Drosophila melanogaster: one gene and its partners. The protein of the gene in region 1 interacts with the protein of each later gene in a pairwise test. Each region holds a gene or a part of one and is shown in the gene's direction. Other genes may lie near its edges.

What was found.
Region 2: the proteins of CG15459 (region 1) and fwe interact in a two-hybrid assay, tested with the Drosophila melanogaster proteins (one large-scale study listed by BioGRID).
Region 3: the proteins of CG15459 (region 1) and CG34109 interact in a two-hybrid assay, tested with the Drosophila melanogaster proteins (one large-scale study listed by BioGRID).
Region 4: the proteins of CG15459 (region 1) and RhoGAP92B interact in a two-hybrid assay, tested with the Drosophila melanogaster proteins (one large-scale study listed by BioGRID).

Annotation. Positions count from the first base shown.
Region 1 is NC_004354.4:20,411,805-20,415,173, reverse strand, and holds CG15459 (uncharacterized protein), read left to right. Parts: upstream 1-1,592; 5' UTR 1,593-1,676; coding exon 1,677-1,733; intron 1,734-1,902; coding exon 1,903-2,754; 3' UTR 2,755-2,833; downstream 2,834-3,369. Other genes in the region: CG15458 (uncharacterized protein), read left to right, coding at 1,087-1,149, 1,212-1,340.
Region 2 is NT_037436.4:15,810,376-15,817,948, reverse strand, and holds the start of fwe (flower), read left to right. Parts: upstream 1-1,538; 5' UTR 1,539-1,672; coding exon 1,673-1,675; intron 1,676-1,892; coding exon 1,893-2,013; intron 2,014-4,322; coding exon 4,323-4,530; intron 4,531-4,595; coding exon 4,596-4,703; intron 4,704-5,051; coding exon of another isoform or gene 5,052-5,190; exon of another isoform or gene 5,191-5,707; coding exon of another isoform or gene 5,708-5,741; exon of another isoform or gene 5,742-6,729; intron 6,730-7,100; coding exon 7,101-7,245; 3' UTR 7,246-7,573. Other genes in the region: CkIIalpha-i1 (CKII-alpha subunit interactor-1), read right to left, coding at 1-717, 776-901. UniProt on the Drosophila melanogaster protein: Transmembrane protein which mediates synaptic endocytosis, fitness-based cell culling, neuronal culling, morphogen gradient scaling, and calcium transport. Regulates synaptic endocytosis and hence couples exo- with endocytosis.
Region 3 is NT_033779.5:10,092,448-10,097,127, forward strand, and holds the start of CG34109 (uncharacterized protein), read left to right. Parts: upstream 1-1,640; 5' UTR 1,641-1,650; intron 1,651-4,466; coding exon of another isoform or gene 4,467-4,606; intron 4,607-4,680. Other genes in the region: CG44153 (uncharacterized protein), read right to left, coding at 4,467-4,606.
Region 4 is NT_033777.3:19,903,241-19,908,206, forward strand, and holds the start of RhoGAP92B (Rho GTPase activating protein at 92B), read left to right. Parts: upstream 1-1,923; 5' UTR 1,924-2,070; coding exon 2,071-2,120; intron 2,121-2,208; exon of another isoform or gene 2,209-2,390; coding exon 2,391-2,647; intron 2,648-4,440; exon of another isoform or gene 4,441-4,851; intron 4,852-4,966. Other genes in the region: Surf6 (surfeit 6), read right to left, coding at 520-1,328, 1,383-1,548. UniProt on the Drosophila melanogaster protein: GTPase activator for the Rho-type GTPases by converting them to an inactive GDP-bound state.

The DNA of each region.
Region 1 (3,369 bases):
ATATACTATCTGGAAAAAAAAGTTTTTATATTTTGATAGTCCACCAGATACCACCAGATATTTTGCTACCACCAGATATTTTGCATACCAGATGGTTGCTGTTTTTTTGTTTTTTTTCTGGAGACTCACATAACAAGTGGCCATTTTTTTCCAATATATTTAAAAATTTAATTACAAGGCAGGCATTTTAAATATAAGCCTTGTAACCCCTTAAGTAAGTCCATTACACTCACTTTAACCACCTATTACCTTGTATGCAAATGAGTAGTTCGGTTTGATTAGCATTCAAATTAGTTGCAAGTTGGCATTTATTTGGCGAAATGTATTTCATTTGTGCATTTAGTACAACTGATGACGTTGAAATAAGTAGTATTGCGTGTGGCATGAGCCCAAATCGCTGATAAAGCTAACTGCAATAAATAATAAATGTAAATTATAATATCACAAAAGGCTTATGTTTGCATTAGCATAACTGAAGCGTACAGCTAAATAGGCCAGAATGTTTACATGCTAGCTAGGTGATAAAATACATTTGTAGAGGATATATTAGATATATAATGGTCGATCGATATGCGATGTTAATATCAGATTCCAAGACTTTCATACGGACAGACATAGCCATATCGGCTTGGCTAGTGATCCTAATTCCGACCAGGATGGCAAGAAGTTCTGTGTGACATACAATTTTCAACGAATCTAGTAACTGGTTTAAAAATAGTTATAGCTGTAACATGCTTAAAAATTTCATAAAATTGTAAATGGTATTTAGCTCAATGAATTCTGAAGTTGGTTAAAGGTACAATATGAAAATGTCCAAAACTTTCGATTTGCCTCTTGCATATCTCAATTTTCATCACAGTATTTAAGCAGTAATTAATGGGTATCCCATTAGTCGGTACTAGACTTCAGCATTCTCTCTAGTTGGGAAACCCGAGTCGGCTTTGACGACTGTCAGTAACATTCCTTTCATTTCGAACGTTTAAAAGTCACAATCCGAATCCCGGTCTAAAATACAGGTCGAATATCGAATCCAAATTTTAATCTTTTGTTAAAAGCCACGCCAATCCGGTCAACAACGATCCAAAGATGTCCGATCATTTCAACTTCAACGAAGCCTTCAACAGCCAGACCATGCGTGGTCGCGCCAATGTAAGTGATTCAGTACACGGCAGTACACAAGATGCGCCCAAATACGCCACCGAAACCCACAGGTAGCCAAGGCCACCTGGGCCTCGTTGGGACTCGTCTACGTCCTGGTCAAGATGCACCGCCGCAACACGAAGCGGCGCGAGACCAAGCTCTACTGCAAGGGCTGCCAGCAGGCCATGCTCCATGGCTAGGGCGCCGATGCTGCCAAATCATTGAAGTCATGGCTCCCCACCGCTCCGACCCATTCGACCCGTCAGCAATCCATAACTATTTATAATCAGCACCCCCTTTCCGGTCCTCGATGCCACAGTTAAAGGCTTGGGGACCAAACTCATGTACCACCTCGTTGAGTCAATAAAAATCGAATCCTGCCAATGAATCGACTTTGTAATCTAGTTGGCCGAGCTTTGCACTTCGCTGCTTGTCATTAGGTTCTCGCTCGGAGCTATAGGCAGAACACACTCAGCTCTCACCCGGACCCGACCCCAAATCCAGATCTCCAGATCTCCAGATCCAGTCCAGTAGCAATGGCCGACGGCTTTAAGAAGTACTTCAATGGGACAACCATCAATGGACGCGCTAACGTAAGAGTGATTCTATTGAACGCACACAAGATAAAATGAACCATCGCTTTGGAGCTGTTGATGGACACAAAATATTATTTTCAGCTCCAAATTGAAATTCAAAATTATTAATTTAACATTTTTTTACATACATTTTTTACAAATACATATACTATGACCCATTTCGCAGGTGGCAAAGGCCACATACGCCACGTTGGCCCTGTTGTTCATCGTGTACAAGCTGCGCCGCGGATCCGGCAAGACCGGCGAGTTGGCCAGCGGCAAGTGCAGCTGCGAATCGGACCACGAGTCGTCCCTCAATGGCGACATTGGCGTCTACGGCGCGGATCCCGACTGCTCCGTTTGCCGGGAGCGATCGGAGCGGGCCATGACCGAGTTCGATCGCGAGCAGCAGCGCCGGGCGGCGGGCGAGGATGACAATGGTTGTCGCGACGATCCGCCGCCGCCACCACCTCCGCCCACATCGGGAGGATCAGGCTCTGCTCCGCGGCGCAAGTGTCCCTGCGAGGAGCCGCAGCGTCGGGCGGAGGGAGCCGTGAAGCATAGCAGCCACAGCAGCTGGGCGCGAGGCCAGCAGATTCAGCCGCCAAACCAGTACCAACAGTATAAACAGCCCGAGGCGGAGCAAGTGCGTCCGGCTAGCCAAGTGATGGGTCAGGTGCACGACGCCTTCTACAGGGTGCTGCGAGGAGTCGTGGGAGCCGTTTTGGGCAATGCGGCGGTCAACACCAGCGGCACCGCTTCCGATTCCCCAGCTCAGGCAGCCGCAGTGGAAGTCTCGCGGGATGAGCTGGACGAGGATGAACGTGACGACGGCCAGGACGATGAGACGCCGTTAAAGCGCCGCACGGCACCGCGCTCTTGCGTGCCCACAGGCAGCCAAGAGAACGCCTCGGGACAGCCGGAGGAACTGGGCCGGGAACAGGCCGACGACCAGCCGCAGGCGGAGGAGCAGGCGGAGTACAGCGCGTTCAGCGATGGCTTCACTTCCGGCCTGTCCTTTACCAGCGATGAAAAGTAGTTGGCTAGGTCTGGGCGTAGGCTTCAAGAGATCTGCTAAATTTTTAGTCTAAAATAAATACGAAGAACTTCTTTATCTCAGCATTATGCTTTAACAATCCATTACTTGGCGCCCCCGGGTGGATCCATTTCTTTCAGTCGTTGCAAGATACTAAATTAAACGGGGGGCAATTGCTTTATAAAGTATTTTATTTAGCTTCCGTTTAGTTCAGATAGAGTTTTCTTTGCGGCATCTAACTTTTAAATAGATCATCATTATAAACGTTTTTAGCCCCTTTGTGTTCTCGGGGTTATCAATATCAATTACGTAGCTTATTAACTGTTTTGGGCGGGGTTCGGACTCGAGATGGATGGGAATGGATTGGATTGGATTCAATTGGGTTGCGTCTAACGTTTAAGCCTTGTGTTTAATTATGAGTGGACTTCAACTAACATTTATATTTAAATTTATATGTATATATAATATAATATGGAAATAACTTTAACGTTTTGCTTTTTGGTTTCATTATGCGATCGACCGATTCTTTCGCTCTCTCGCCGTCTCTCTCTCTCTCTCGCTCTCTCATTCTCTCTCTCCTCATTCTCCCTCGCTTGCCGTCTCTCTCTCTCTCTCGCT
Region 2 (7,573 bases), on another chromosome or scaffold:
CCTGTAGGATCCTTGGTTAGCGAAGGACATGTTGCACTCCACGCAGATGAAATCGGATACATTGTGAACGCTGTTCTCGTGGCGGATAACGTCGAAATAGCGTGGGAATATCTGGTTGCATCTGAGGCACAGAAATTCCAAATCCTTTGCGCCGCACATGGTCTTGTTGTGTTTCATCGTCTTCATGTGCTCATGTAGTTCGTGTAGTTTGTGGAACTCTGAACCACAATCGCGGCAATAGTAGACCGGATTCGGGCGGGGTTTACAAGAATGCATGCGTATGTGGGTCAGGATTTCGAGCACATGGCCGCAACAGGTGCACAGCATCCGAGTGGCTTGGGTCTTGTCCTTGAAGAACTTGGTGACTGCCAAGCCATCGCGTGACAATCCCACGCTGAAGAAATCCACGGACGCGGTTTTCAAAGATTCTTCGACTACGATCTCCATATGCTCGTTTTTTTCCAATGGATCTTCCTTCACTGGCTCCGCGATATGCTGATCGAAAGAATTCTCCTCATCATTCTTTTCCGTTTCTACCTCTTCTTTGTTTGATGTCACCTCCAACTTGATCTGAAATGCAGTGGAGTCGTCTATTTCGATGGGCCTCCGGTGAAACTCGTCCTGGGCCGTGCCCCACTTCTCCAGGGATTCGCTTATGCGCAAAGTCTCTCCAAAGCAGGGCTCGCAAATGCAGTAATTTTCCCCCAGGATAGCAGCCTAAAATACGTGGGTTTCTTTGCATTTGACATCCATTGGACTCACTTTCAGAACTTACATCAATTTTGTACCAATCGAAAAGTCTTTGCAGCAGTTTATTGGCCGATTTGAATTTGGGCTTCTCGAGATCGATCTCAATTGCTCGGTTATCCTTGCATAGTTTGCAAATTTCCGCTTCTGTCATTTTGCTGATATTTTCGAGGAGGTCCAAAAACCAAGTTAATAAAAGGCAAGTAATCAATGATTTCTTCGATGTCTGCTAATCGATACTATCGATAGATGTTTAATTTATCGATACAATGCAGAGCTGCTTAATGTCGATAGGCAATTGAATTAATCGATTTTTAATTTACGGACTTAGAAATTTATGCAAATCTAAAAATAAATTAATTTTGATTGATTTGAATAGAGATAGTTGTTCAGATTTAGGAGTTAGGTGAACGATCTGAGATCGAAGTGAATTTTCTAAAGATGCCGCCTGCATATTGAACGGTATAAAAGCTTTCAATGTACACAAATTTGCCTAACATTTGCTAAGAGAACCGGAAAATATTGTTTAATATCATAATCGAACAAAAACCAATTTACAAGTTTAGACTGTAGTTTTTTCATTACCTAAAAAAGTATTTGTGTAATTATTTGAATGTTCGAAACCCAAAACAAGAAAATACAAATAATTATGAAAAAAGTAAGAAGTTGACTAATTGCAATATAAATTTAAAAATTAAAAAATGTTGTAGTGAATCCAGGATACCAGGAAACTAGTTCCATTCGCCTCCGATAACTTCCGAGTATCGATAGGCTCTATCGGCCATCAGAATCGCGATCTAGTTCGGTTCGCGTGCAGCAGAACGCAAAGTACAACAGGATTTTTTTCGTTCCGTGTGACGTGAAAAGTGCAAATAGTAATTGTTCGAATTAGTTTAAGCCTAGCTAACTAACTAAATAAATAGCCATGGTAGGTAGTTGTTGATTGACTGAGATAAAATGCTGACGCAGTGAGCGGTGTCAGTGTGTATGCATGTGAGCCGCGCGTTAACTGGTGTGTGTGTTTTTGTCGTGGCAATGTGTGCGTGTTAAAAAAAGCGGCCGCCGCGTCACAATACAAAATTGTGCTTCGATTTTTCCTAATTGCATTTCGATTTCTCCCTATTTCCGTCTATTTCCCGGATCAGTCGTTTGCGGAAAAGATAACGGGTCTGCTGGCACGGCCGAATCAACAAGATCCAATTGGACCGGAGCAGCCGTGGTATCTCAAATATGGAAGTCGATTGCTGGGCATTGTGGCCGCCTTCTGTAAGTTGTAGGATATATAATAAATTATCTACTAGCTTAACACATTAAAAAGTTGGGAAAAACATCCGTGACATTGGGCGGCCCAAAAATATGTTGCATCGATTTTTGTGTACCACCCTTTGTTGTTGTTGCTGTTATCTATTCGTAGGTGTAGGTGTGCAGTTGTGTTCGTGTGTGTACGCACGCTCTCTGACATTGATAAAGGAAAAACAAGAGAGGGTGAGTGAGAGGTGAGAGGCAGTGAGAGCGGAGAAAGGAAACATGGAAAAGACAACACAAAAAGGATACACAAATTCACACACTGAAAAAAATACTAGTTATGTATGTAGCTAAAGTTTATTTTTACATCAAAATCAAAGAAATGTAGGGTAAAGTGTGAGATTTCCAAATGAATTAAGAATGAAACGTATAATTTTAAGGTAAAACAAAGTCCAAAAAAGGTTTTTTTTTGTTTTGTTATTGAAATATAAAATAATACATTCACCCACTTAACTAAGTGGGCTTCCTGCACTTAATATCTCTTATCTAACCATTTCGTTTGATAACTTTTTATTTCGTGTGTAGGAAATTGCAAGTATGTATAGGAGCTTTTCTGTGTCAAGTTTGGCGCTCTGCTTTTTCTTTCCGCATCGAATGTAATTCTCTGTGCCCATTCAATCGAAATTCGCACTGCCTTTTGTTGTATCAGCAGCTTCCCTCTTTCCATCTCTATTTTTAACTTTGTTTTACCCGTTTGCGTATTTGCTTTTTTATCTGGACTCAGTTAACCTTAACCCTTAGGCTGCCACACGTGTTATAAGTGCAATATCGTAATAAGTCTATGCGTATCTTAAATTCAATTGGGGCATCTTTTTTGTAATTTCATCATCACCTTCTGAATGCATAAAAAAATGCAGTTCAATAAACTTTTAAGTAGTCGTGATCTACTTTGATTAAGTCCAAGTCAATCTTTTTAATCGCAGTTGGGGTTTTGATTATGCTATTGGGTTTCGTGTCGTTAGAATACTTACAAAAATTATTTTAAAAATCAATCTAAACCATACATATGTATATAAATGAAAATTCCACAGAAACAATATGCCTCATTGACATATTATTCCTGGAATTTTTAGAGATCAACCAAAGGAATATTTATTTATTCAAAACGTTTTTAACATCTTTTTTTTCTCTGTACAAAAGCATCTTTTGTTGTTGGATATTCTGGCAATGATTCTCACTTAGTGAAATGCAGAAATTGCCCAACAAATGAACACCATCCACTTAAAATCAATATAAATAGCTGAATACCTCAATTAAGGGATCACAACTCACTCGTCCGGCTTCCACAATGAACCGGTTTTGTTTGCGTAAAATAAAACCAAAGTCTATGATTAATAAATAATTTTATAAGCCGTTCCGTGGAGCACAACGACTTCTTCCCCAGGTTGGGTCAGTTTGCCTGGCTTTAAGAACCGCAATAACCTCAAAACCCAGATCCGATTTCGCAAAAGGAAAAACCTAACTTGCGAAGCTAAATATTAAAAGTGGCCTAAATCGTGAAATCTTTTTTATTTTATTATTCATGTATTTAGAATTTTAGAATTCAACCTTTCCTCGTGATCTTTTGCTGCATTTATACCAGCCACTTTTATCCAATTATCACGCCCCAGGCATTTGTTTATCTGCGAATTATAGTCGTATGTGCTGTTTACTCTTTGTTTATGCTTTTATCATAGACCAAAAGCAGCTGATAAAATATTTTAATGTAATTCACTTGTACGCCCCTCTAGCGATATCGAATGGAATTTAGTGAATTCTACCTGTGAACTGAACTACTTACTATCAACTAACAATTTGCCCAACTGTTTTTCATGCTGTTTGTCACGCTTCTGTGGCTCGTTTTTGTTTAAAAAATTTTTAAATAAAAGAGAAGGCCATAAAAAGTTAGAAATTGGCACAATATGAGTCAGCGTTGTAGATTAGATTGCGTTTCCTCGTTTTTACCATACGGGGCGGTTGGCCCGACATAATGGGTCTAGTGGGAGTATGATATTGGTATTTTTGGTCAGTGTTTAGCGATAAAGATATACGCCTTTTATTGGAAATTACAAAAATAGCTTGACCTCTGCATACATTAAATACAACATATGATAGGAATGTAATTTTTTTAAATAATAAAAAATCAATAGAAGTTAGCAGTAAGCAGTAACTTGAGCTACATGGAAACAGTAGATTGAGGAGCAAATTCATAATAGCCAAGGAAAATATTCATTATTAGTAGATTATAACATTGCATAACTAACATCTTTTATCCCATGTTTTCCTTCCAGTTGCCATTCTTTTCGGCCTGTGGAATGTGTTCTCCATCATCACGCTCAGCGTATCCTGCCTGGTGGCTGGCATCCTTCAAATGGTGGCAGGATTTGTGGTGATGCTCTTGGAGGCTCCCTGCTGTTTCGTCTGCTTTGGGCAGGTGAACGAGATCGCGGAAAAGGTGGAATCTAAGCCCTTGTACTTCCGTGCCGGGCTCTACATTGCGTGAGTAACCAAAGAAATTTGTCACAAATTGTAATATTTCCTAAAGATTATGTTTTCCATTTCAGCATGGCCATTCCGCCCATTATTCTGTGCTTTGGACTGGCCAGCTTATTCGGCAGTGGGCTGATCTTTGGCACTGGCGTGGTTTACGGCATGATGGCGTTAGGCAAGAAGTGAGTATGGGGCACCTCGGAAAATCGCAGTTAAATTCAGAAAATTGCAGCTATGCCGCAGAATTTTTAAAAGAAATAGCTGGATTCAAATCAAACTGCATTGATTAGGCACTCATGTGTTCCTAAAACATTAATCTGAATTTAAAAAACAAGCTTTATGGTGAATTTCTGAATTTAAAGACGACTTCGATTATTGGGTTAGTTTAGTTGCTAAGCGAACGGAGGAGCGAGCGATTTAGTTAGTTTTGCTAAGCCATTTTTGCTAATCGAAACAAAATGTTTTCTCTATATTCCCACGATGTGCTTGCCACTGTGAAAACGCTTAAATAACTATAAACTAACACGTAGAGCTTCTCGAGAGGACATGGCCGCCGCTGCCACATCGCCCACACAGATGGCCGGCAGTCAGGCGGGCGGTCAGATGCAGATGGGCGGCGATCAGCATATCACACTCATGGAAGACCCCGATGTCTGGCGCCCCACATAAATTCCTAGCCGCGCCATTAGTAACTGCCAAAAAACCACACTCAGATACAGATAAAGACACAGATACTCAGATACACAGATTCACACACAAAATACTCCACTAGAAATGCGAACGATGCAAGAATTGATCGAGTAACAAATATTTTACGGCGCCTAGTTTTTAGTGTTCGTTCCGAGGATAAATGCAACTAAGTGAAAAGGAAAATCACTACAAAGCAGCATTGTAGGGCATCAGAGAACTAGTATACAGAACACCCCACCAAATACAAAAGAAAATTTAACGAAATTCTCATTACTGTTGAAACCGAGAGTGTTAGTAATCAAAGTATATTTTGGGCAAATGCATTTCCGTCATTCGACCCCCCGTTTTGCATGGCATTCGTACTATATTCGTATTCAAATTTTTTAATATCTTTCGTCGAGCGGTTGGTGTTGTTAAGAACTACAGTTAAATATATATAATATGCATAGAACAACTACTGATAACAATAACGTAACTCACATGTCAAACTCTGCAGCAAGCATATATTTTTAGTGAGAAACTATATTTGAAAGCTAACCGAATGCAAGAGGAACCGGAACCTATAAGTTAACCACAGCTTCCACACACTCACACACAGCTAATGCTAATGGAAAGCCACTGATGATATGGACAAGTGAATGTCGAGAACCTAGAGCAATATGTACAACTCAGAAATAATTAACTTTATATGCTTTGCTTCGATGTAAACCATAAAATTAAATGTTAAACGTTATTTGAGAATCGATTTGCTCGCGGGATAGTCACAATTTGAAATTGAACATAATCAAGCATACAGATAGAATATATATATATATATATATATACAACAAGTTGAGAATTTACCAGTTATATTTTTTAAATGTTGTAACCGAAAAGTGTCCATTTCAATTTGATGCATTGTTAGACGGTTTTCTTTTTAGACAATTACTTGGTTAATAGGATTTCGTTTTCGGGTTTCGTATGATTTCTTGTTTGCTAGAAGTATATGCTTATTTTTTTTAGTATACCTAAGTTATTTATAAGAGTTTATTCCAATCGTTTAACTTTGAAAGTCTGAGAAAAACGTTTTAAATTATTTTTGTTGTTGCCTATTGGCATTCTTACCACAGAAGCATTCCAAAATCTGTTTACTTTACGCATAAGTTATTGTATAGTTTAATTATTATAACTTTAAATATACATTATTTACAAGAAACTCGCGATAATTTATTACAATTTAGCCTTCGCCAGCAACTAAGAGTCTCACCTAAAGTAATCACGAATCATAATTAATTTGTTGAACTTTGTTAATCAATGAACGCAACACTAAAAATGAAAACATAAACATGTAAAATATTTCGTTAGAATTTGAACGCGCATGATTCAAATATCAAACACTTTGTACATGCCACCTGAAAACTGTCCAAAATCCTGCCGTTAAAGCCAAGTACATTCAACGACGGCCAACAGCGATTAACAACAATATACGATTTACGTTAACGAGTTCTGAACTTTGCTGCGTCCAAGAGATCACTACAGGCAAATACATTTTGAGCTTTCCTTTTTGTAATTGCTAACGATTGTAAATTGTATATTTTTCGTAGATTTTGTCAATGATTGATGACGTATTTATTTACTTGTGCACACGAAGAATGAAATTGATTTAGATTAGTTCCTGTAGTTCCCGGTATTTATGTAAGACTTGTATACTGTATTCATGCTGCCTTAGTTTTTTTTTGTTTGTCTTAGAAAAGCTTTTAGAAATATCTGGCTGTTCTATCGACCCTTTGGTTTCATGTAGGCAAAGTCACAGTTTTTAGTTGAGCACTTGTAAATTGTATAATTTTGGAAACCATTTGCCAATGTTTTGTACTCTAAAGACTAATGTAATCCTTTTACTTTTTCAACAGAGCATCCGCCGAGGACATGCGGGCAGCTGCTCAGCAAACCTTCGGAGGAAACACACCTGCCCAAACCAACGATCGAGCGGGGATTGTGAACAACGCCCAGCCCTTCTCCTTCACCGGTGCCGTGGGCACGGACAGCAATGTGTGATTCAGAAGCTAGCTGATCGGGATTTCGAGGAATCGAAGAGCTGGGTGTGCCGTGAGAAAACAAGACTCAAAACGCAACATTTGAAGGGCAAACCTAACCAAGAGAACATCGGCAGGCAATCATAAACATAATCATGTGCAATTTCTGATTGTTCAATAACCAACGCAAATGGATAACAAAAGTTTTTAAATCCGATTAGCTCTGATCTCTTTCTAGAGCAATCCAAATTACTCGATCAGAAAGAAGCCACCCAAAACAAGATCATTAAATTTTAAACCATTTTTGTATTAAATGTATGTAAATGTATATTGGTTTTAAAAGCGTTTTG
Region 3 (4,680 bases), on another chromosome or scaffold:
TCTGTTCCACCTTCAATGGCGTTTTTAAGTACAGTGACTCTTCAGTAGGTGCGACTCCAATTCGATGCAGGAAAGGATCATTTAGAAACATGCACGTAAACCAAAAGATATTCTTTTAATTAAGTTGGCTACAGGTAAATGGCTTTTTACTAAGTGATAACTCTCAATCAGTTACATATATCAGGATTTTACTGTATCGCGTTCCTTCAGTGGGACACGCGTTCCCGGGAAAGTGGGTCTCAGCCTTGTCCGACAACTCGAACTGTTTGATCAATACCCGTCCCACCAGCAGTCCAATCAGCCGCGGAGCTTCGTCCTTTTATTGCACAAGCGGCGCCAAGGAGCCGGAATCGGAAGACGGGACAAGGAGAGCACAGTGCACACAGCGCGAGTTGAGCCAGTTATGAGATAATGCCAAAAATTTTGAATCAAACCGAGTGCTGGAGGAATGGCGAATGGTGTCACTAATTGTACCATTGTCACCCCGCCACGGGAAGAGCAAAGCAAATCCGAGCAACTGAACTCGGCAGACGAGTATGGCAGACGCATTGTGGCAAATGAAACTAATGAAAATCGTGACCCCACAGCAACATTGGATACTTATGCACTAAGAGAAACTGCATGGATATCTATGAAAATCGAAAGCTACTCCATGAAGAGTGGCAAAAGTCCTTGTTAAAATTGTATACTTATTTTAAAATTTGAAATACACTTTTTTTAGTGCGTTTTTTTTTTCAGTGTGACTGCAGTGCTATCCAAACAGCTGTTAACAGGGTGCTATCTTTTACGGAAAATATGGCAAAAGTAAGCAACCAAATTTTCTGATTGGCTGTAGATAATGAAAGCTGCGTCGGATTAAATTTCCCGCCAAATCCTTAAGGCTCGTGGGACCAAATTACAACCACTTCCTCTCGATTTGCACCCTGTATTCGATAGCTGTATTCCATTGTCCTTAGACGACGACGACGACATCGTCGTTGCGTTGTCAAGACAGTTGTTGCCTCTTTGTTGCTGCCATTTTTGTACCACTGCTGCCCCGGGTTGAGCCAATTTGTAAAATATATACGATATATATTTTACTTATGTCTGGTGCTGCTGGGGTCAGGCAATTTGGCTGCTCGCGCTGCATGGCTGCTGAAATTGAATTTTTGCTTTGGCTTTTAAGCAAGTTTGACAAATTTTCAGAGCACGGCCAAAAGTGACTGCAACAGTTTCGTTAGCTTCCAAGCCAAAAGTCGATGTTTTCTTGGCCAAGGGAAAAGCAGAAAAGTCAAAAGGGGATGGGGGCCAAGGGGTAGATGGGTTTGAAATTGCATTGACAGGCAGTCAAGCCCTTCCACTTCATGGCGCTGGGACAAATATAGATTACGCAAGTGCTTAGGGTTAAGCTAATATTAGCAGGAATCTAAATTCCTTCCTCAAAAGGTCAATTGGTTTGCTGGCTACAAATTGTGCACCGCTTTTACATAACACATCGATGCCAAAGACGTCAGAGAAACGTACAGAGCTTAGTTTTTAGCAAGCTCCTGTTGATCGAATTAGCTGGAATTTGTTAGGCAAATAAAATGTGGGAAAAATGGATCTTTGTTGGCTGCTTTTCAGTCTTGAACTCAGTTCAATTCAGACTTTAAAGGTGTTCGCAAGCTTTAAGTAAGCAAAAAGTGGTGTAGTTTGCACAATAAAAGGACCTCGATTATTTCAAGCGATTAAGGATATTTTTGAAAAGTAAAATCCAACAATTAAGACAATCGAAGTTGGCTTAATGAGAAGTATTTGCTTAGCCGCTGCTTCAATAATTGTATTACTACTGTTGTGGCACTTAATCAGCCCAACGGCCTTGTAGTCCTGCAAATCCTCGCCCCAGATTGCAAAGGACACAGGATTAGGGGCGCAATTAATGACCGTGGCCATTGATTATTTTACACACATGTGTGTGTGTGTGTGTGTACCTACCGCCTTCAAATGGCAATTGGAACGCCAAGGCATGTTAATCAAAGCCACCCCTGTTTTGGGAGTTTGGGGCCAGTTAGCCATGGTTGCGGGCCTCTTGGCAACCAGCTTTGGATGCCTTAGTGCCGTGATTGGAAAATAATTGCATTCATTAAGTGGGTTATTGCCTACGACGCTTGCGATAAACATCTGCTAACTGGGTCACAATTTCGGCGACTGGCAATCCAATAGATTAACGGCCGAACGCCTCAGTTTGCGGGCTTAAAGGTATCTGTATCTGAACATAAGGTTCGTTACACTTGGCCACAACGGATTGGTTGATAGTGTTCCGAAAGCTCGAAACTTCATATTCTTAAAATGTAGTTAATGTTACTAGATATGTATACTTATATTTATTGTCCTTTATCTAAGTCTAAACACAATTACTTTATACGTGCCTTAAGCAAACTGTCTAAATGTGCCAATTGGTTGCCAATAGCCATCGGTGGTAACTAATCAGTAGATGGCCAGTATTGGCCATATTTCGATAATAAATAGCATTTGCCCAAGTGAACATCTCCCTGCGGTGAAATCAAGCATTAAAAATTCACTTACTTCCGGTTATTTTAGTACGCAAAAGTAAAGTCATCGGACGGATTTAATGTGTAGTCGTTTGTATAATGCAAAGTTGGTAAATGTCCAAATGAATGACTTCACTCACTTCACTTTAGTTAAAATATTTACTAATACTTGCCTACCCTCCATTTGCGGGGATTTTGGGTGGAGTAAAACACATGTTTGCGGCTTTGTACGGCAGTCATTTTTTACACATCAATGCGTCCGAGTGGGCCACGCAAACTGGGCGAAACTGAAACTGATGGAAGGTCTGCCAGCCACGTGGAGGTCCTGCAGCAAACAAGGATACCATGTACATGTGGGGGATCCGTACAAATATGCATAAAAGTAATCATAAGTCCGGATCCCCACCACCACCACCACCACCACCTCCTCCTCCATCACCATCATCATCATCGGATGGGGCTAGCTGGCGGAATGGCCATGGAAGGGTCCGAATTGTTCTATGTAGCAGTTGGCATTTGGAAAACGCATAGTTGGCTTCACTAGATAACAAAAACTGAACTCCGAGAATAGATTTGGTTATCGATTTGCGGGAATGGGGGCCATACATTTATTTATTTGAAAGGTAATATTCGGATGAACAATCCTTTATTCGAATACCGCATAAAAATAGAACACATCGTTATCAATTTGATGGCCATCTGCCGATTGAATAACAAGTAATACAAACTATATTTGGTTAAATTGTTGCAAAGATAAAAACAACAATTTACCATATAATAGTTATATTCCTAAAGAGTTCGATCCATTTCGAATGTTTTCCTAACCAAACAGCTTATACGCGCATTTTCTTGAAATTTTAGATATTTTTAGATTTCAAGAGAATGGAAATTTAAATTTCTGGTCAGATAAAAACAACTTTTGGCAACGTTTCGTGACATGTAGTTTCCAAAAACGCGTTGTCCCAGAATGGCGAAAGCCAGCCTGCCAAGGCTTAAAATTTTGTTAATGAATTGCGAATTCTATCGGCATCTGCACCGCCCTGCGCACCGCGTACTCATTTAACCAATCCTTTCCAAGGACCTCCGTTTCGCTCGTTTGCCATTCACGCAACACATTTAAAGTTTGAGCTTTGTGGTGGTGCTTTCGGCTGCAAGGCGAATTGTCAAGGCAACATGACGGGCGGAAAGTGGGTGGTGTTGCTCCTGGTAGGGCTAAGCTGCTCATAACCCCTGCCAAGTCGCCCAAGTAACAGCCCCTCGTTAGTTACGGCCATATGCTTTTTATGTAATACACCCACACTACCCGCCAGCCAAGTGGATCCGAAAGTGGATCTGAATTGCGGGGTTGTGGAGCCTGTAGTCGGAAGTCTGAGGCATTCCGGAATGGAATGGGCATGCCATTCGTATATGTTGGCCAACACATGTGTTCCGGCTGGCCCACTCTGTAGGATTTATGATCAATCATTCGGTTAGGCTTACTGCGGTTAGGTTTCGGTCTGGTCCAGAACTCAGTATCCCAGCCAGCCTCCAGTTCCCAGCTAGCAACTTACCAACTTGTACCCCGTCCTTCGTCCATGGCCACTGACAAATCTTTATCTTTGCCCTGACTTATTTATCCTTTTTGGCCATTTCATTTTTATTCCGCCTGGCGTTTTTATGTCATGTTTATTGATGTGTAAAAGTCATAAAGTCAAATTGAACACTTGTGACGAGAGTCATCCCTCGCGATTTCCACCCGTCTTCACCCGTTTCTGACTTTCCGAGTGTGACATTGATTTTTGCCATATTCTTTCGATTCTATACTATTTTATTAAAACTCCAGACTCCGTTTCACAGTTTTCTAGGCACTACTCCATTCTCATTCCATATTCCATTACGCGGGCAGCAAGTTTATGGCATTTCGAGCTGGTTGTGGAAGATAAGCAGCTGCGACATGTATATATATAGTTCACTCACCTCGTCGATTTGCTGGCATTAACCACAGCGCCATCCTTGAACCACTGGAACTGCATCCGGGATGAGCCTTGGGCCGTGCAGGATATGATGAACTCGCTGGCCTCGCGGACTCCTGATTGCGGCTGATTGACGGTCAGCTCCTGCGAAAGGGGAGACAATGTCACACTAATTAGACACAGGATGGCTGTGGTTCGGTTTTCGGTTCGAGGTTTTG
Region 4 (4,966 bases), on another chromosome or scaffold:
GCTGTGTGCGTGCGTGTGATTCTCGTTGTTTTGGCTGCCCCACTCGCTCTGCTTCTTCTTGCCAAATCGGTCACTATACTGTATTAAAAGATCCACAAATTTCTAGGGTCTCCAGCATTATCTGATCCACTTTTTGTCTCTTGTAAGTACTCGGAAAATCTGGAAAAATCGCAGCAATCCAACTAAACGATTACGATATCAATCGATTGTTGTTATCGGTCTCAGCTGTTCGCCGTTCTTCTTCTTGCCAATCTTTGGTGAAGCCGCGCAACGCACAGTGGAACACAAAGTGACACAAAGTGGACAAAAACGAGGAGCCAAATAGTGTGGCTTGGAACTGGGAATTTAGCTGTCTACTGGAATTTTGACTGTGTCGAGGCCGGAAAAGTAAATTTCTAACACGAAAGTATAAAAACGTAAATTTCAGAAAGATCACTTTTTTTCTAAAGCATTCTGAGTTGAATTTCAACGTGGCATACATTTACACTACTTTACACTTAAGGGCTATAGTAAGCATAGTTAATAGCCGGGTATGATGCGACCCCTCTTGCTGGCCGTCTTTAGTTTCCGGTTCTTCTTGTCCTTGCTGCGCTTCTCCAGGTTCTCCTGTCGCTTCTTTTGCCTCTTTTCCTTGTCGTGCTCCACCTTCTGCTTGCGTTCAGTCCACTTGGTCTTGGACTTCTTCTTCTCCACGCGCCGCTTCTTGATGGCCTTTTGCAGCAGCTTGGTGTCGTCCTTGACCTTCTTGCCCTCGACCTTGTCGAATGCGTTGCGCCAGGCGATGTCCGTCTGGATCTCCGCCGCCTTGTCCGTTTCGCCCTGTTCGCGCAGTTCGGTTAGGTGCTTCTTGGTGTCGCGCAGCTTCTTCAGAATCTCCTTGGGGTTTTGGTGAGACTTCTTGGCTTTGCCTCCAGGATTGGCGGCAAAGTCCACCTTGGAGTAGACGATCTTGGCCTCCTGGTTGTAAACCGGTTGCACCTTGACCGGCTGGATCTGTTCCTTGCTGTCCTCCGTCTCCTGTTCTGATTTCACCACGCCATTCTTCAGTTTCTGGTGCTTGACGTTCTCGTTTTTGAGGTTTTTGGCCGAGGAGAGGAGCAGTTTCTGGACGCCCTTGCTGCGTTTAAGCTTTTTAGATTCGCGTCGCTTCTGCTGTCGCTCCGTTGTGGGTCCCTTTTTCTGGCGCAGCTTGTTCTTGATGGAGGCAATGCGTGCCTCTACATCCTCGTCGTCGGAGTCTTGGTTTTTCAGTTTTCCCTGTTGTTTCTTTTTCTTGTTTCCCGATTCCTCCGTGTCCGACAGCAGGTACTCTTCGTAGGTCTCCTCATCTGTAGGAAATACGATAAAGTTAAAGATTTAAGGCTTTTCATTAATGGTTTCACCTTCTTGTTTGGAGTAGGGCACTTTGTGAATGGTCAGCAGTTCCAAGACTCGCTGATAGAACTTTTTGGTGATGGCGGGCAGGTCCTCCTTCTCCGGCTTCTGATCCTTGTTGTGTTCGATTTCATACTCCTCCCGCAGACATTTCACGATCTCCGCCTGGGTCATTTTCGAGAGTAAAATAACAATAAAACTATTATTTACGCACGCACACGTGCAGCTAAGCAAGGCGGTCGAGTTCAGTGTGACCCCACAGAATTCGGGTGTTTTCGACAGTGGTTACCCTAGCGCAAATGTCTGGTACCGCTACAAGTAGTAAGGGGTATTCCCCTATTCAGCGAATTTAAGCAATGGTTTCAGATTAAAGGAGATTGAAATTTAATAAACATTAATTAACCATTGCTTAAATTCATAATTCTAGCCTAAGCTCTGAGAAATCTCAACAGGCATTTATCAAACAGTGTTACCAAATACGAACTTTCGAAAAAGGCGCTCTCCAGCCTTTTGTCATTTCCCAGCGCTCCCGCTGCGGTCACACCCGCCTCACTTTTCCGTAAAACATCGTTGAAGAATGACTAATTTGCCTGTTTTAAGTATTTACTCAATGCCCAGCTAATTGCACATCGCAAACAAACACACAGCAGTTCAGTTCAAGTTGGAGACGCGAGCGGCACCAGCGAATCAGCCAAGATGAAGAGGCAGTTTGCCAAAATCAAAATAGCAGCCGAAAATCTGTCAAGGTAAGTTCAAAGGCCAGCCAGTCTGTCGGTCGGATGTCTGTGGGTGTGTGTTTGTGTAAGTGCGCTCCAGGTGGACAGACAGGTGTGTGTTGCCTCATCACGAAAGAAGCAACAGCAGCAGCAGCAACAACAACAAAAGCAGCAGAGAAGCAGCCACAGAGCAACTGCATCAATAACAAAGCGCGATGACAGCCGTAACAATAGTGGACTGCCGATGATGACCTAACCCGTGCTAAACCCGTGTCAAAATGGTCCTTTTCGCATTCGCAGATCGAGCAAGTCGGACAGCAAGGACTCGGAGCTGGAGGCGATCGAGCGGCAGGTGGACAGATACCGGGACACCATCGAGAAGATCGTCCGCAAGCTGCCGGCGCTGAGCGGCGGAGGCGGAAGTGGAAGCGGGAGCAGCGAGGAGCAGGACAAGCGGACCAAGAAGAACAGTCACTACAAGATTGCCCAGGCTCTGGACGAGTCCGCCAAGGAGCTGCCCAAGGACATGCCGCTGCAGAAGGTCCTCGCCAATTGCGGTTAGTAATCGGGCAACCGGGATTTCCAGTGAGGCAGGCAGTTGCGTAGGCGGTCATTCGCCAGAGGGGGAAGTTACAGAATTTGTTCTTCATCAAGTGATTATATTGATATTGCTTTAGGTACCTAGCTTATCATAGTTTGTTAGCATGTTAGCTTAAACATCCATATGATGTTTCTTACAATCTGAAAATAGTTCCCAGCTGAGAGCCCCTCCTTGCAGCGGCAATCAGCCATGCCTACGGCCCTGGTGGGTGTCATGTTGTCGCTGCTGATAAGGCGCACAGTGGTTGTCGTTCGCTCCAAATCCGATAATCGCCGCCAGACATGCACAATGGCACACGAACACGAGTACGGGTTCGCAGGGGGCTTGGAGAACACACTACAGTGGATGACTGTGTCACGGGCTTCGGTTTGTCTGTGTGTATTGGCGGCCTCGCCTTGTCGCTTGGCCTTGTGGCATTTACATTTCTCAACTGCAAACGGCAACATCAACATCGACATCCACATCGACGGCGTTTTTTAATCATTATTATAATTTTTATTATGACTTTTTCGCCGCTTTCTTTCGCAGCCCGTTCGCCCGCAGTATTGGTATTGGTTATTATTTGCGGTTTCGGCATTGTCTATTTATACACCTTTTTGTTTTGCCAGCCAAGTTAGCCCGCCCCCATTGGCGCCCGTTTTTATTGCCCTGCTTCCATACAATTCACTGCCCGATTCACTATGCATTTCATTTAAATTTGTTACACATCGCGCGCGAAGTGGCATAACAAAGCCCGGTAAACGGCGATAATTATGCTAGCTGCTTGGCTAGCTGTGGCTAGTAAAAGTAAAAGTCTGGGCCAAATTCATACATCATCGTATCGTCATGATCTCTTCTTCGCTGTTCATTTATTATTATTTGGTGGGCGCTCCCCCTAGGTCGCATTACTCATTCCGAGTGTTATTTTTATTTGCCTGTATTATTTCCATTCGCTGTTTCCCCCTTTCAGGCACTCTGCATTCCACATATTCGCAGATGCGTGTGCGTCAATTGCAATTGCCAGTTCTGCCGCAGTTGCAGCGATTCAAGAGCATCTCGGTGGTTGTGTAACGGCCAGGGATCTGGAGAGCCCCCCCCCCCTTTTTTTTTTTAGTTCCCCACGTTCCTGATTAGACACGAACGCTTACACATGCAACTATCGCAGCCACAGTGAACGTGTGTCCGTGGGTTAAGTGGAAGCTCCATTCGAATGCTCGGGAAATCATAATTGGGTCAAGCTGCGGAAATCGATCGCCAAACGATGCAAACATTATTTTTGAAAGGGCTATAAAGCCTAGAGCATTGTCAGACTTTTCTATTCAAATGTTTGGCGAACTTTACGTCTGTTTATTTGCAAATGTTTCGGAAACCGAGCAATCGAAAGTACGTATTATAAAATCAAACTCGATTTCATTCGCTTATCTTCATTTTCTAATTTTAACTAAAAAATTCGAGAGACGCTTCAACTTTAACAGTAGACACCTCATTATAGTGAGATATGTCATTGTAATTTACATTTACAACTTAATTTCTTTGGTAAATAATATATCAATGTTTAATTGCGAGCATAGCAACTTAAATGTTAGGCAACAAGTTGTAGCTGCCAAGCTCCAGACCCACGAAAACACAAAATTACCGCACCGAAATTAGCTTTTTGTCGCCAGTGTTATGTCGGTAATTGCGGTGAGATATCATCGCACTTTAACCCACTGTGCGCCCTTTGCAACTCTTATTGTTAGCCACGATGCGCTTCAATTCAAGCCATTCAGCAAGGGGAGCTAGAAGCGAGCGTATCTCGAATGTAACACTCCAGTGCCGACGTCGTCTTCGCTTTGGACTCCGTCTCCGACACCCTCTTCCTCTGCAACTGCCTATGCTTTCTGTGGTGCGACCTTTTTGCCTCCACTATGCCTCCATGGCGGGTTCAGCTGCTGAGGCTTGAGTCTCGGGGCACTCAACACAATTATCACAATTTTGCTTACTCAGCTCGTCATCCTATTCGCCGGGCAATTCCCCCACGGATTGGCCCAATCTCGCCCCGCATCTAAGCGGAGCTACTCCAGCAACTGAAAACCAACCAGCACGCCAACATCTTCGCAGCTACCGCCAGGCGATAAGGTCTTAAATAAGCAGTGACTTCCTCACTTGCGGGTGGAATGGAATGTAATAGTTGGGAATGGCAAGAGGCTGCGTGATACACACAGCAAACTATTTCCATTTACTTTATGATTGATAAAGCTAGCAAATAATGATAGTAGTTTCTATTTCCTTTAGAAGTTAGATTCGCTTGTACTTG